Linked DNA regions of Lepisosteus oculatus. The protein of the gene in region 2 interacts with the protein of the main gene of each other region in a biochemical or structural test. Links are inferred from orthologs where the notes say so. Each region holds a gene or a part of one and is shown on either strand. Other genes may lie near its edges.

Region 1 (7,052 bases), on a different chromosome or scaffold from region 2:
CAGTATCATACAAAACAGTTTTACATTTTATTGGTTTAGGTTTAAGTTTATTGGTTTAGACATGCGGTTTTGTACTACAAATGACATACTACTTCATAAAACATTTATGACAGTTCCTAGCTTTTTATGTAGGCTCTATGGAGAATGTCATGTAGGCATTTTATACAATTATGCATTGTTTGTGAATTAGCTATTTAAAAATATCAAATTCAAGTATAATTAACACTACCTTTCTGAGAACAGTAAGGTCTCCCACTCACCTGAAATCATGCTAATTTGTTTAAATACAGCTGGTATGAAAGCTGTAGGTTTCATTACTTCAGTAGTTAAATCTGGGTGGCAACATAGTTTCAAGACTAAAAATAAGAAAATCTAAATATAATATAATCACGTATACGTATACCTAACGGCAGAAAGAGAAGAAAATGGTGCAGTCTATTTGAAAAGACGGCTTGGGTTATTTAAGAGAATAAATATGGCATATCCTTTTTTTTTTAAATAAAACAAGACGTGTTTAACAATATTTTAATTGCAAAATAGCCTTTTAACAATATAGAAGTCAGTGGCACAAATGCTGATGAAGAGAAACAAAGCTTTCGAAAGCTTCAATGGTCCCCCACAGCCCATGACACTGATGGAAAGTTCACTTCACACGGCGAGTTTATTCTGCAAACTGCAAACACAAAGGCTGACCTTCTTTTCCTTCATAGCACCAGGGCATGCATAAGACACCTGTTGAGGAGCAAAAAGCAAAACAGATTCAGTATTTATGATATGAAATACAAGTCCTTGTTTCCTTTTGTAGACATCTAAAAACAAATTGTGAAGAGGTGAAACTGACTGAAAAAAATATTCCTTTACGTCCAAAAACGTTCCCCCACAGTTGCTGCAAACATTCCTCCATCTGCAACTTTACCCTTTTGTGTTTGAAGAAGTGGAGAATTCTTGTACCAACAGCTTTTTTTGAAAATGGAAATTCAAACTCCATTTGTCCAAACAGTTAAGACACCTAAAGAGACTCTCAGACTAACATCCCGAAAATTTTAAATGACAACTTCATTTGTGTTATTTTCTTTTGCTGATAAAACGTATGGGCCTAGCATGGTGATAGGACTAGATTAAAAATATGTATAGCGGCTAATTAACCCCCCTGTATATCATGATTTCACTGCAATTTCCCTCACGGGATCAATAAAGTATCGATCTATCTATGATCCTGCATTATCTTAAAAGATTGAAAGATACCTCCACAGTGTAAAGGTCTTTAAAGACGTCTTCTCCACTTGATATGGCCTAGCAAAAGAGGTCATTTGTTTTCTAACACTGTAAGAAAATTGCAGTTTGTGTATTTGATGGCCATGGACTACCTGATACTGGTATTAAAGGTCTGTCCTTATCTAGCAAACTTAACTTGTGCCAGTTATAGTATAGTCAAAACTGTACTCCCATAGTGCTGTGGAATGATCAAAGTTTAATGACCTAGATCAATAATGAACAGGTAGCCGTTATCAACACATGGTAACTATGCAATGTTACAAGTAAAGCTAATCAAAACCAGAATTCTCAATAAGATGTTCAAAATAACCCCTTTTCACCTGCTTATATTGGAAGAGTGATTCATTTTGGACCAATATACGTTACAGTTTTCCCCGTCTTCTTCAGAGTTTCAATAAGAACTTCTACACTCTGCTCAGACTCAATAAAAACCTTCTTATTGGGAAGGTCAATGTCAAATTTCACACCTATGAAAAAGAATAAAAGGAACTGAATGAGATCCTTGGGACAGGCAATGAATTAATATTGCAACGAAAAATTACTAGAAAAATCTGGTATGCAAATATATCGTAAATAAATTATATAGGTACTGTATATTCTACTGATGGAGGGGAAAGGGCAATGTTATGTTTTTGAATTTTTAAAAGTGCATAACAAACTGGACAAAATTGTCGTAACATTGCATTGCGTTATTAAATAACTATCAACGGTTACAAAAGACAACCTGCAAGAATGTAATAAAAAGGTCATAACGACACAAAAACTAGAAGATATAACACACTCAGCATGCACTGAGAGGAAAGAGCAATGAATAGAAGTAGAAGCGGTGTGAGGGCCTTTTAAAACATTATGGCAAAAACTAAACATTACATTATGGTGAATTAGCTTATGAAGATGGACACGCTAAATGTACTTTATTTTTCTTACTAAAAGCCTTTTTAATATCAATGTATATAGTGTATGTATAACCAGAGTAAAAAATACACAAAATATGACTACACATACACTTCTATCGTATGTGTAATCATGTGGAAAATTCAGTCATGTGATTGCTCCAAGTCTCTTCTCAAGAAACCCGTTAGTTAGCAGGAAATCGGATACTTTTTTACTATGTAAAACAATTACAGGTCAGGCAATAGATTTAATTTTCCGAGGAAATCAGATACTTTTATCACGCTATCTGGCTTTCGGTTTGGTGCCACTGTCACACTGCAACTGCGGTCTTTCGGCATCAGGCACTCCCTGTTGTTAATAACACCACGCACCCAGGGAATAAAAGTGAAAACTCATGGGTAGGACTTGCCTTGCAGTTTATTGAGAACGCGAGTCACAGCGCCTGAACACCCTTCGCAGGTCATATCCACGAAAAACTCGTGCTTCTGTCGGGAAGGAATCCAATCCATTATTTCATTACACCGGGTCATTTCATATTCCAACACTGCAATGATCCAGTCAAAGGCCTGGATTCACAAATAAGCAATAACTAACGCCATGCAATATAGACACCGTCAACATAAAACTTCTCGTCGTGTAGCTACTTGCCTGCATATTTCCTTTCCAAATATCAGTTACACCGTTCGACCCTCTTCAACTTTCCCGTCTGCGACTGTGTACTTTCATCACAAGTAAAATGCTTTAATAGTCTTCCCAGCGATCAGCCCCCTTTCCAGAAACAGGAGTCAGCAATGCTCGTTTTAGGGACGGTCATCAAGGTTCATCTGCATTTCGTGAACCAGAACTTGAATTAGAATACAGATAAATCTGCCTGATCTGGAGTAAATGTATCATGATGCATAAAAAATAGACATTATCTACAACATAAATATTTTCTGTTTGTTGCTTTTCACGATTCAGACATGAATATTGTTAGGGGAAAAAGATGAGTGAAATGATGACATTCCCTTCTACTATTATCGAGGCGCCAGGAAGACTTGTGGTACCTCAAGCATGGCTGTGGGTGGCGCTGAGTTCTCCCCTAAATCATTAATTTGCAGAAAAGTAGTTAACCCATTAGAAGCGACATTTTGAAATAATAAATAAGCATATGTGTCGATTTAATAATAGTAGTTTAATGTTCATCCACAGTAAATTCAGATGCATTTATTTAACTATTTAAACGACAGCCAAAAAACATAATACAAATAATAATAATAATAATAATAATAATAAAAATATTTTTTATTATACAATATTATTTATAAACGCTTCAAAAAACGCAAATTCTGTTAAACAACACACGCAAATAGAAGATTTTAAAATAAAATGTACACATCTAATCTGTATGTTAAAAAATAGAAAATTATTTTCACTGGAAAATGAAAGTTGGGGGATGCATTACATCCGCTACACTAATGACGAAGACTAGAAAAAAAAACCTGTCTAAAACCCGTCCACGCATTGCAGCAACTGTTTTTAAGGTTGATATGCCCATAAAGTGATTTTTTTCTTAACATGTGGACCTCCATTCTTTCACTCGGTGAGGTAAACTTCCTGGTATCCATGGAGAAGGAGTCGGGTCAGCTGACCTTCACGAGGCGGGGAAGTCACGTGATCCGGCGGCTCGGAGACTCGGGAAGCTGAACGCGAGATTTTGGTGCCGCTGAGCCGCGGTAACGCGACGAGAAAACACGACCCCGGTAAAGATGGTGTGAAAACATCTCCGCGGCGTTGATCACAGGTAACACTAGGCACTCTATGGCTGTGCCTTGCACCGATCGTTTCTGCATGCTGATTGGATTGAGCAGTGTTAGGGAAAGCAATTAGTATGCAAAGTGCTAGGATGCAAATCGTGCTAACACACGCTAGGATAAGGATCTAACATGCAAGATGACCGATAAAGCAGTCTAGATGCTCGGATGTTGCTTACTCCGCATTTGTTGCTCACCACGTCAAATAGTTTAGCCACCGGGCTAAAGGTATGTGTGACGATTCTTTACCATATCTGACAGGGCTTCAGGAGAATGTATCAAAGGTACCTGTTCTAGTACTTAAAAGTTCTTGCAATTGGAAACGTCTTTTCTTGATACGCTCGTATATTATGATGTACGTTTAAAGGCCAGCTGTTGGATTTTATTGAGATAGTGGAACCTTTCCATTGTATTCACCTAGTAACACTGTGTCTAGTATTATGATGGTTTTATCCTTGTGCTGTAACTTAAATCATTTGTTTTTTATTCTGGTTGTGAAAAACGTAAACTTGAGTCGCTTTGTAAAATGAAATGATGAAGGAAATTAAGTGCAGGGCATTCCATGTGCAAAGTCCTGGAAGCCAGTCCAAAACGTGTTAAATACGGGATTAGCTCAACAGATGCACATGATCCCATACATTTTTAGGCGCAAGTGTATTTTACACTGCAACTATATACCCCCAAGGGAAATACAAATGAAAGCGAAAACTACTCAATTATTATCATTTTAAGGAGGAGCGAATAAGTCAGAATGTTTTTCATTTTAGTTTAAATACAATGACTGCTTCTCACGACTGCGAAATCTGTTTTTTGCTGCTGCTGACTGACTCGTGGAAGAGATGTTCTCAGGTGCTTGGATTGTGAGCTTTTCAGCTAATGATTCACACCTGTGAATCACAACAATGATAATGTTGATTATTTAGTCTTTGGATGGGCTAAGGTACCATTCACTTAAAAATAAAATGACTAGTGGTGTCATAACAATCTATTTACACTTTTCATTGAAACTGACAACAGTTTTTATAGATTTTCTGTGACGAGGAATAAACATTAGCTTCTATTTGCTTGATTTAATTATTTCACATGGCTTCCCACTTCAGAATTGACCATTCTGTCATAGTAAGTTCTGCCTCAGGCATTAGAAGTTCAGACTGCAGTGTTGACAAGTCCTATAAACCACTATTACTTATTTAAAATAGAGTTTTTAGAACCAATTTGCTCACGAGTCTCTTTACTTGTCTCCCGTAAGCCTTGGCATTTTGGATTTAAAAAACACTTAGCCCTGAAAAATAACCTTACATCTGAACTAGTTTTATTTTTCTTCACTAGAAAACCTAGCTCTTTCTAGTAAAATAGCAGTTTAAATATTACTACTCTGACAATGTTATTCTGAAGTTATTGAAGACGAGGTCAACTTTCCTAACATATGGTATTTCACTGTTGTCGTGAAGTGAATCAGTGACAACGTGTTTACTATGTTAAATTAAAATTGGGAGCCTATTAAAAACAGGCAAAAGGTGGAATGGCAGCTTGTCTTTCTTTTCTGAAACAACACCCGATGCTGTTAATAAAATTGCATTACTCTGAGTCTGTGCTTGTATCTGATGTCCTGAGCTGCTGACCTTATTAGAGCAATCATATGTTGCTTTCTTCCTATTATAGAAGCTCTTCTGTTTGAATGCAGGGCGTTTGGAGTGGATTCCCTCAGGTAACAGTGAAGCTCAGATTGTAAAGTGGTAACCTCAGGACTACACATGACTACAGACGGCGCTAACAGCATCAATGGTAATCCACTTTATTCAAGTTTTATGACCTATGAGTCAGAGCTGGTAAGGCTGAAATATTGTTGGTCTTCAACCTAAAAGTGGTCTTGTTTTCCTTCTGATGCATTTTGGTTTAAAAAGCAACACTTATTTCACCTTAGAGAATGTATATGCGGTAAGACCATGAGACCGTAAGGGAAAGTCCCTAGAGATAGAAAAGGTCACAATTTTGTTTCCTGAACTGTACTGAAAATCAAAAAACAGTTTTGGGTGGGTGGCTCATTCCATGTTGAAAGGAAAAGAAGAGAGAGACAAGTTTTTGGCTGTGGAGCAACAGAAACAAACCCATTCAATAAGTTTCTCTGTATTCTCTTGGGAATCATTTAAGATGCCACACAAAAAACTGACTAGAAATGAATTAGGAGTTAAGAGTTAGGGATAAGGGACAAGTAGAATGTCAGAGAATGTGTATTTCAGATTGTTGTTTTGTAAGAAAAAGGCTGAAGGCTAGAATGCAACCTGACTGAAGATCTTATTATTGCACAATTCCTGGTACACTTTGCTGCAATTATAGCATAATATGTCACATACGTCCTCCTGACACGTTTAAACTCCCTTTAAATAATGATCGTTTTAAAATATTTAGGAATCTTTAGCGTTAGCCATTATGATGCCTATAAAATTAGACTAATGCGTGGATTAAAGTACATCCATAAATTACAATCCAAGAACACTTGGTGTTCATCAGGTTATGGCTTTGTAGTTTGCAAATGATAAATTCATTCACTTTTTTTTCCTTAAACTGACCCGGGACCAATTCCCAAGATCAGAATTACAGATAGTTCAAACACCTATAATGCTACTCCTCAGTATTGTAATTATAATATGGAAAAGAAATTGAACTGTTTCAGTAGACTGTCCTCAGGATTTCTCCCTTTTCACTGCAGTGATAACTAATGAAATGTTGTTGATCAGGCTGTATACCTCCCTCCAATTTGTGAAACTATTTTAATTAACAAAACAGTTGTCAAACTGCATAAGATAATGGGGCATGTATGTACCTTAATACATAAGGTTATTTGTGCACAGAATAAATATTTAATCAAAGTGTTCAATTTCTGTTTTATATTTTAAATAGTACTTTCATGTTATCTTAGTTTCCATCTTAACTCTGTGATTATGCACACACCACCTGGATCTCTTTGGTGTTATGAATCTCTCTTTTGTGACTTGAATTGTGCTACCATGACTCATGGTACAATATGCTCCGAGAAACTGCACTGGGCTTGCCAGTATTTGGTTCTTCCGTTTACAAATGTTCCTAATG
Region 2 (6,899 bases):
GCCGATAAAAAAAAATATTCCAAAATCACAAAGGTGTTGACAAAGTCAAGTCGGTGTCCACCTTCAGAATGAACAGTGAAGCGTGAACCAGAGTACATCAGTGGAAACTACACGGAAAAACGTTTAAAACTGAGAACATGCAGCAATTTCTTTTTACCCCAGGGGCTGTTGGAGTATGGAACAAGCTACCCGCCTTGCTATTAAAGCCAATATCTGGCTTCGTTCAAGAAATGGCAGGGGGAGATTCTTCTATCAATAAGCTACTAACGTCCTCATGGCCCAAATGAACCAAACGTCCTCATTTGTAACCTTTCTTAGCCCATTTGAGTCCCCGTTAAGGTGTTGGAACAGGACAAAAAGCTTGACTTCTCCAGCTGCAAACCTAGATGGAGAGAATGGTATTGAATGAACAAAAGCACAGTGTGGAACGGGGTTGATCAAACTGTTGTTAAACTGTTAGAGGCTCTTCTAAGGTACAGGAAAGGAGCCTGATCGTCTCCCAGCACTGTGATGCTACTTAAAGTCAAACTCATCTGTTTGCCCTGACTCCTGACTCATGAATGAAGCCGTCATTTGCAATCGGCCTCTTACCAAAACATGCATCTCTCTTTGTAAACACTTTGGTAACCCTGCTGTACGTTTTCTTGGTTCTGAGAAAATAAAGTTCAAAGGTACCCCTCTAAAAATTGCCACACATTTTAGGACACTAAGTTTCAAAAGAAGCAGTCGGACAAAAAGTCAATGTTTGTGTGTGCCTGGTAAACTCTTTGCACACTGTGAATAAAAGATAAGTTCTGCACTCAGGAGGACTTTTGAGAAATCACCTTCAGAGCTAAAACTCATTTGGAAGTGGTCATGCAAACGGAGGCATTTTGTTGTTATAATCAAGAGGTAATTTATTATATAAAATTAAACTGCAATAATTTCAGAAGGGATCATATCAATCTTGCAGCCTACTGTATGTAAAGTCCTCCGTTTGCCCGCTTATTTTGTGAGGCTTTAGATAGGGAGAAAAAATGTATTATTTATATATTTTATATTTACTGTCTTATTCTGGATTTATTTAACAAACAGAAAACAAAACCAATTCACAGTTTTGATCCCAGTGTTTCAAACAAAAAAATACTGTACATGGGGCATCTTTCAGGCCTCTTGAAACTCCTCTGCACGAAGGCACATGATGCGGTTCAATCAGCTATATCCGATCCAAACCATTTCCCCTCCACAAGAACCAAAGCTTACAAAGCTTGTGAGGAAGCCATACAGGACACTTCACTCTTGCCTATAAACCCTAAATGACGAATCAAAGGTTAATTTGGTGAAATTGACAGTCTTGTGCACTGATTGTCTCACACTTTCTCTCAGTACCATACTAACAACTTTGCCTATGTTTACTGAGCTTATTAAAAACCGCAAACCCACATACTGTAAGAAACACAGATCTCCTCTCACACCTGTTCTGAGCTGATTCCTTTCTAAATACGCCCAATGTACATGATTTGCAAACAATTTCTAAAGAAGACACAGGCTAGCCAATCGATGAAATCCTAACCTTCTAACCCGAACTGCTTAGACTGCCTTTTTTTTTGCAACAGGTAATCATATACATAATCCAGTATATACAGGAGTAAATATATAGTAATGATAAACCTCATCATTCTGACAAATCTACTGAGTTTACCAGCAATGAAACAAAACCTTTAAAAATATAAGCTCAATTCTGCTGTACAGAACTTGGGCGCTGCGTTGAATATTTTCCCCCCGTGTTACCATGATTGTTGCACTGACCTGGTCTTTGACACTTTCTTTTCCTGAACAACTCGCCTCCAGTTGCGGACGGAGGTCCCTTCGCTCGCCCGGCTCAGAGCCCGGGCTGCCCGCTGCAGCGGCGCAGCGCGGCCGGCCGGAGGGACAGGCGCCTGGGGTCGCCTCCTCGGCAGCCCGTCCCGGAGCCGGGTTCCTGAACCCCGCGGGGCTGGGCTTCTGAACGTATGTGGATAAGCGAATCACGCTGGGTGAAGACTCTTTCATCTTGTTGTTGTTGTTGTGGGGTTGTTCTTTGAAGAAAAAAAGCTGTAAATTGAATGTTACGGCCCCTGCGGTGGTTTTAATCGCCCGCAGTACAGCGCCTATAGGCTGTCACCTGGGCTCCGGGCGGGCGTGAGCGTGTGTGCTCGCTTATCTGGCTCAGCGCTGCCTTTTGAACTGTTGCAGACCGCACTTCACGGCTCTGCCGAGCGCACGGCGCTCTCAGCTCCCGATCACTCCCAATCGGTGGAGGTCGACGGTACTGCTCATCGTGGCACGGGTTTTTTTTTTTTCTTCCTGTTTTGCACTCGTAACCTCTGTCAAATCCGTGTCGTTCCTACCAGCCGGGCTCTCACGGCGGGCGAGCTCCGCGGCTCAGTCTGGGCGGAGAAGCCGTGTGCGGACGCCCGGCTGCGGAAAGGGGTTTCTGAACGTTGCGTGACTGAGTGCCGCAGGAAAACCCGTCTTAGTCTGCAGCCTTGTTGCTACAAACACGAGAACTAGCTCGAGTTTTGCTGTATTCATAGCAACAGCAACAAAAAAACAGCCTTACTAGAAAACCTGACTTTAAAAAAGCTGCTCATGTTTCTTGGGACGAAGCGCTACGTATACATTCAGATCCTAACATACTGTATATCGCTCTGTTCAATCCCCCCAAAAAAAACATTTTGGGCCATTCTGTTTTACACTGTACTCATCCTTGTCCTTGTCATTGTATTTCCATTGCAAGGCTGAACTATGCCTTCCCGTGCTGTTTTAAACTACTCTTAAATAAAAAAATGACCCAATTGTAACCCCCCCCCCCAAAAAAAAAAAACAAAACAAAAAATAAAACAAAACCTACGTGGGAAAAATAAAAACGTGTTGTCAGTGTCTTTGCCCTTTCTGCAGAATTCCCCTTTACAAGCGACACGACCAAATCTACACGAACTGCAAGTTTCGAGCTCTGGTTTGGTCTTTTCTTCCCGTTGAATACACACATATCCGATCCAAACCATTTCCCCTCCACAAGAACCAAAGCTTACAAAGCTTGTGAGGAAGCCATACAGGACATCTCATGCCTATAAACCCTAAATGACGAATCAAAGGTTAATTTGGTGAAATTGACAGTCTTGCGCACTGATTGATTCTCTCAGTACCATACTAACAACTTTGCCTGTGTTTACTGAGCTTATTAAAACCGCAAACCCACATACTGTAAGAAACACTGATCTCCTCTCACACCTGTTCTGAGCTGATTCCTTTCGAAATACGCCCAATGTACATGATTTGCAAACAATTTCTAAAGAAGACACAGGCTAGCCAATCGATGAAATCCTAACCTTCTAACCCGAACTGCTTAGACTGCCTTTTTTTTTGCAACAGGTAATCATATACATAAGCCAGTATATACAGTATATACGGCACTCAGTCACGCAACGTTCAGAAACCCCTTTCCGTAGCCGGGCGTCTGCACACGGCTTCTCCGCCCAGACCGAGCCGCGGAGCTCGCTCACACACGAAAAAAAAATGGACAAACCAGCGGCAGAGGTTTCTGCTTTCATGCTGGAAACAGCTGGAACTGCGCCACAAACCAAGAGCCTTTTCGGAGCCGCTCTCTCCCAGCTGTCAGGATGGCCGAGTGGTCTAAGGCGCCAGACTCAAGGTTTCGATGCCTTCCGTGAGCGATGGGTGTTCTGGTCTCCGAATGGAGGCGTGGGTTCGAATCCCACTTCTGACAAGTGTTTTACTTTTTTCCCCTCCCCAGCCATTCACATTTTTGTTCTCCCTCAATCCTGTACTCACAAAATGCAAAACCCTGAGATTTTACCAAATAAATCGACGTCGCGTGTAAAAGGCGCGGGACTGAATACATTTTATACTATACGATTTTGCCAGGTATTCAAAGGGTTTAATCTAGATGGGTAATTTTGAATTTGTTGGAAAAAAAAACAACCCGATTGCGTTACGTGTGTTGTAATAACGAATATAATGTGATATGATAATTTAAATATATATATATTCGGTATTCCTCTTTAGATCGAAGATCGTTCTTCCGTGTTTGCAGCAGTGAGTCCAACAGGAGGCGCCAGAACAAGGATTTCAGGTTGAAAAAACATTAATGAAATTCGTGTAGGCTAGTGAACTGCAGTGATAGTAACAGTCGTTGACCTTTAGCGCAGAGCAGTGAACAGCGCTGAATGATTGTCCTAAACGTAGCTGTCCCACTTCTCCAAGCGTGACTCAATTTAAATGCAACGCACTACCTCAAGGAAAGCAAGTTTTTTCATTACTCTAAATCTGAAGAGGCAGAAGAGATATGATGTAGGACGAAAAGCAGAAGTTATCGGGAATTGTTTAAAAAAATCGGTATCTGTCAATCTATGTTAGTAAAGTTTTTTTTATATAAGACAAAGTTGGTCTGCGTCCTTCTTCAGAAAAATAAACCGTATTCCTGACTTGGTTTTCTCCCCAACAAATTATCCGAAGAGACAGATTCAGCTTATTCATCAATGTTCACCTAAAACATTGTCAACTTGCGTTCTGGCCTACTTCACTCGCAACCTCGTCTTCTGAATTCAACACTTTCAAAACCAATCAAAGATCTTTTTGGTAGATGCAGGCAGCGCCTTCTCGCTTTACCATTGCGTGTAAATGTGAAGTCGAAAAACGTGTAAAAAAACGTAAAAATGCTCGTCAAGAGCACCGCATCCGCAACACTTAAGTCAGTGTAGGACAGTGTCATAAAATGACATGCTCTAACCGAAGAAAAAAAAGTGCTGCTTTCGCACTGATGAGTTGTATCATATCGTATGTAAAATACATGCCCCGGTGTTTCTGTCGACATTGTCTCCCATCGCAGATTACAATAGGAATGTTGAAAATCACAGTTGGCACATGACACAGCTACACCCAGGTTTTATCATGCAAACTGCAGAATACTGCAAAAATATTTTCTTCGTATAATAGTTCTCCAATGAGTACTTCGCTATAGCCAAAAATATATCCACCACATTGTAAAATGCTGGTATTTCCATCCTTTTGCGTACTGTCAAAACATATGTGAAAACAAGACAAATTGTGCCCAAAAGGATAGCGTTTTGCATGAAGCAAAAACAATAACAACAGTTTTATTTCTGCACTCAAATAAGTGCAGAATAAAGTGTTATATATTTGTGTAAACAACTTTTTGTCAACATTTAAGTTAATAAACCCTGATGCTCGCTTCCTCTACCACGATAATTATTCACAGCACACAGCCTCTGTCTTCGGAATCAATTTTCCAGAACACAATTCTCTGCTTAAAAGTGAAATGTCACGGGAAATAACATTAAAGTGTCTCATTTTATACAAACAGAACAAAGAAACAAAACACTGTATTGGTAGCTATATTTTTCATTCCACATCGAGGTATTATTGATTAAATCTGTCAAAGATCTCTGCATCTCCGGAAAATGCTTTCCTTACGGAAAAAAAAAAACTAATTGTGTTCATCATGTAGGGCTAATGTAGTGTGCTGCCTCTAATTAGTAGCAAAACGTAATCCTGCTGTAAATGACATCTTTATGAAGCGCATTTCCAAAACACGATGGAGTGCATGCATTTGAGTAGGCCTATAGCGTTTTCCAAATAACACATGAAATATTTTCAAACATATTTTCCTTTTGGTCGAAATGTTTATTCAGAGACCGTCATGCAGTTTAATTACAAGTTCATTTTGCCTGTCACACACATAAACCACCCAGGCATCTAAATCTCTCTACTAATATAGTTAAAAGAGCTTACCATGTATATTTGGTGTTTGACCCGCAATGTTCTTTCGAAGGCGCCGTACATGGTGACTGGAAGGGATTTTAATTTGAAAAATCAGCGAAAGCCGATCGTGACTTGCCTCGCTGCATTCCGTCTGCATTCCGTCTGAAAGTAGCTCATAGGGCCTCGAAAAGTAACTCTAGCGCTGGCCACATGACTGTCACAGACATCTCATTGCTTTCCAAATACATTATCTACTTAAATTACAAAGAATGAAAGTAACTGCAGGAATGCTGTTACATGAATCGGGACAATGATTTGTCCGTTCAACAATTCACGAAAAGTTCAACAACAACAACAACAACAACAACAACAACAAAAAACCCACTGTGAGACCTCTTGTTACAGCAGACGGGCCATTAGCTGGTGACTCGTCAGGGCGCGATTTTTATCCAAGAATTGTGGAAAACCATGCACGAGTGTGGCAATGGAAAACGAGGCACATCTTTGTCACATTAGAGGGACTTTCTGCCGGTACAACCGCAGAACAATACATCTCATCGCACTTAAGTGGGCTATTTAATGTCGATAAAGCGTTATAAACAGTTGTTAAAATGATAGTGGTGAATAACGAAAATAAAAACTGCTATTTATAACATATCCTTCCACACTCGAGGACGAGGAGATTATGTCAAAATGTAACCTGATGAAAAAACGAAGCAACGCTCAATCAAAGCCACTTGTGTTTCCTTGGCTGTGTCGCTTTTCTTCCAAGAATCGCAATCAAGAAAACAATGCACCATATTATAGAAGCTGCCTTTGGCGTTAACATGACACCTTTTGTGTGTTAAGATGTTTTCTTTTTGCGAAATATAAGACCCATTGCGGGCCGTTCCGTCATTCGGGGTGCTGGAGCTTTGTCCGAGTTCAGCTGTATGAATGCGCAGGCTTTCAGAAGCGGAGAAAACTCGCTCCTCCACTCTTTATTGTTACGGGCACTAACCGAAGTGTGTGGAAGAGGCTCCTTGCTAAAATAATTTAAAAAATAAAATAAAATGAGCCAGAATCAAATCAAATCAAATCAAAGTTTATTTATCCAATGCACAACATTACAGCGTGCAGCAGTAGTTGCTGGCAAT

What was found.
Region 1: the proteins of atp7b (region 2) and atox1 form a complex in vitro, tested with the Homo sapiens proteins (3 studies listed by BioGRID and IntAct). The link is inferred for Lepisosteus oculatus from reciprocal best matches to the Homo sapiens genes ATP7B and ATOX1.

What each region holds. Positions count from the first base shown.
Region 1 is NC_090706.1:36,045,464-36,052,515, forward strand, and holds atox1 (copper transport protein ATOX1), read right to left. Parts: upstream 2,960-7,052; 5' UTR 2,824-2,959; coding exon 2,818-2,823; intron 2,655-2,817; coding exon 2,579-2,654; intron 1,743-2,578; coding exon 1,618-1,742; 3' UTR 1,596-1,617; intron 733-1,595; 3' UTR 512-732; downstream 1-511. Other genes in the region: slc36a1 (proton-coupled amino acid transporter 1), read left to right, coding at 5,717-5,747. UniProt on the Homo sapiens protein: Binds and deliver cytosolic copper to the copper ATPase proteins. May be important in cellular antioxidant defense.
Region 2 is NC_090710.1:30,595,275-30,602,173, forward strand, and holds the start of atp7b (copper-transporting ATPase 2), read right to left. Parts: upstream 3,015-6,899; 5' UTR 2,032-3,014; coding exon 1,789-2,031; intron 1-1,788. UniProt on the Homo sapiens protein: Copper ion transmembrane transporter involved in the export of copper out of the cells. It is involved in copper homeostasis in the liver, where it ensures the efflux of copper from hepatocytes into the bile in response to copper overload.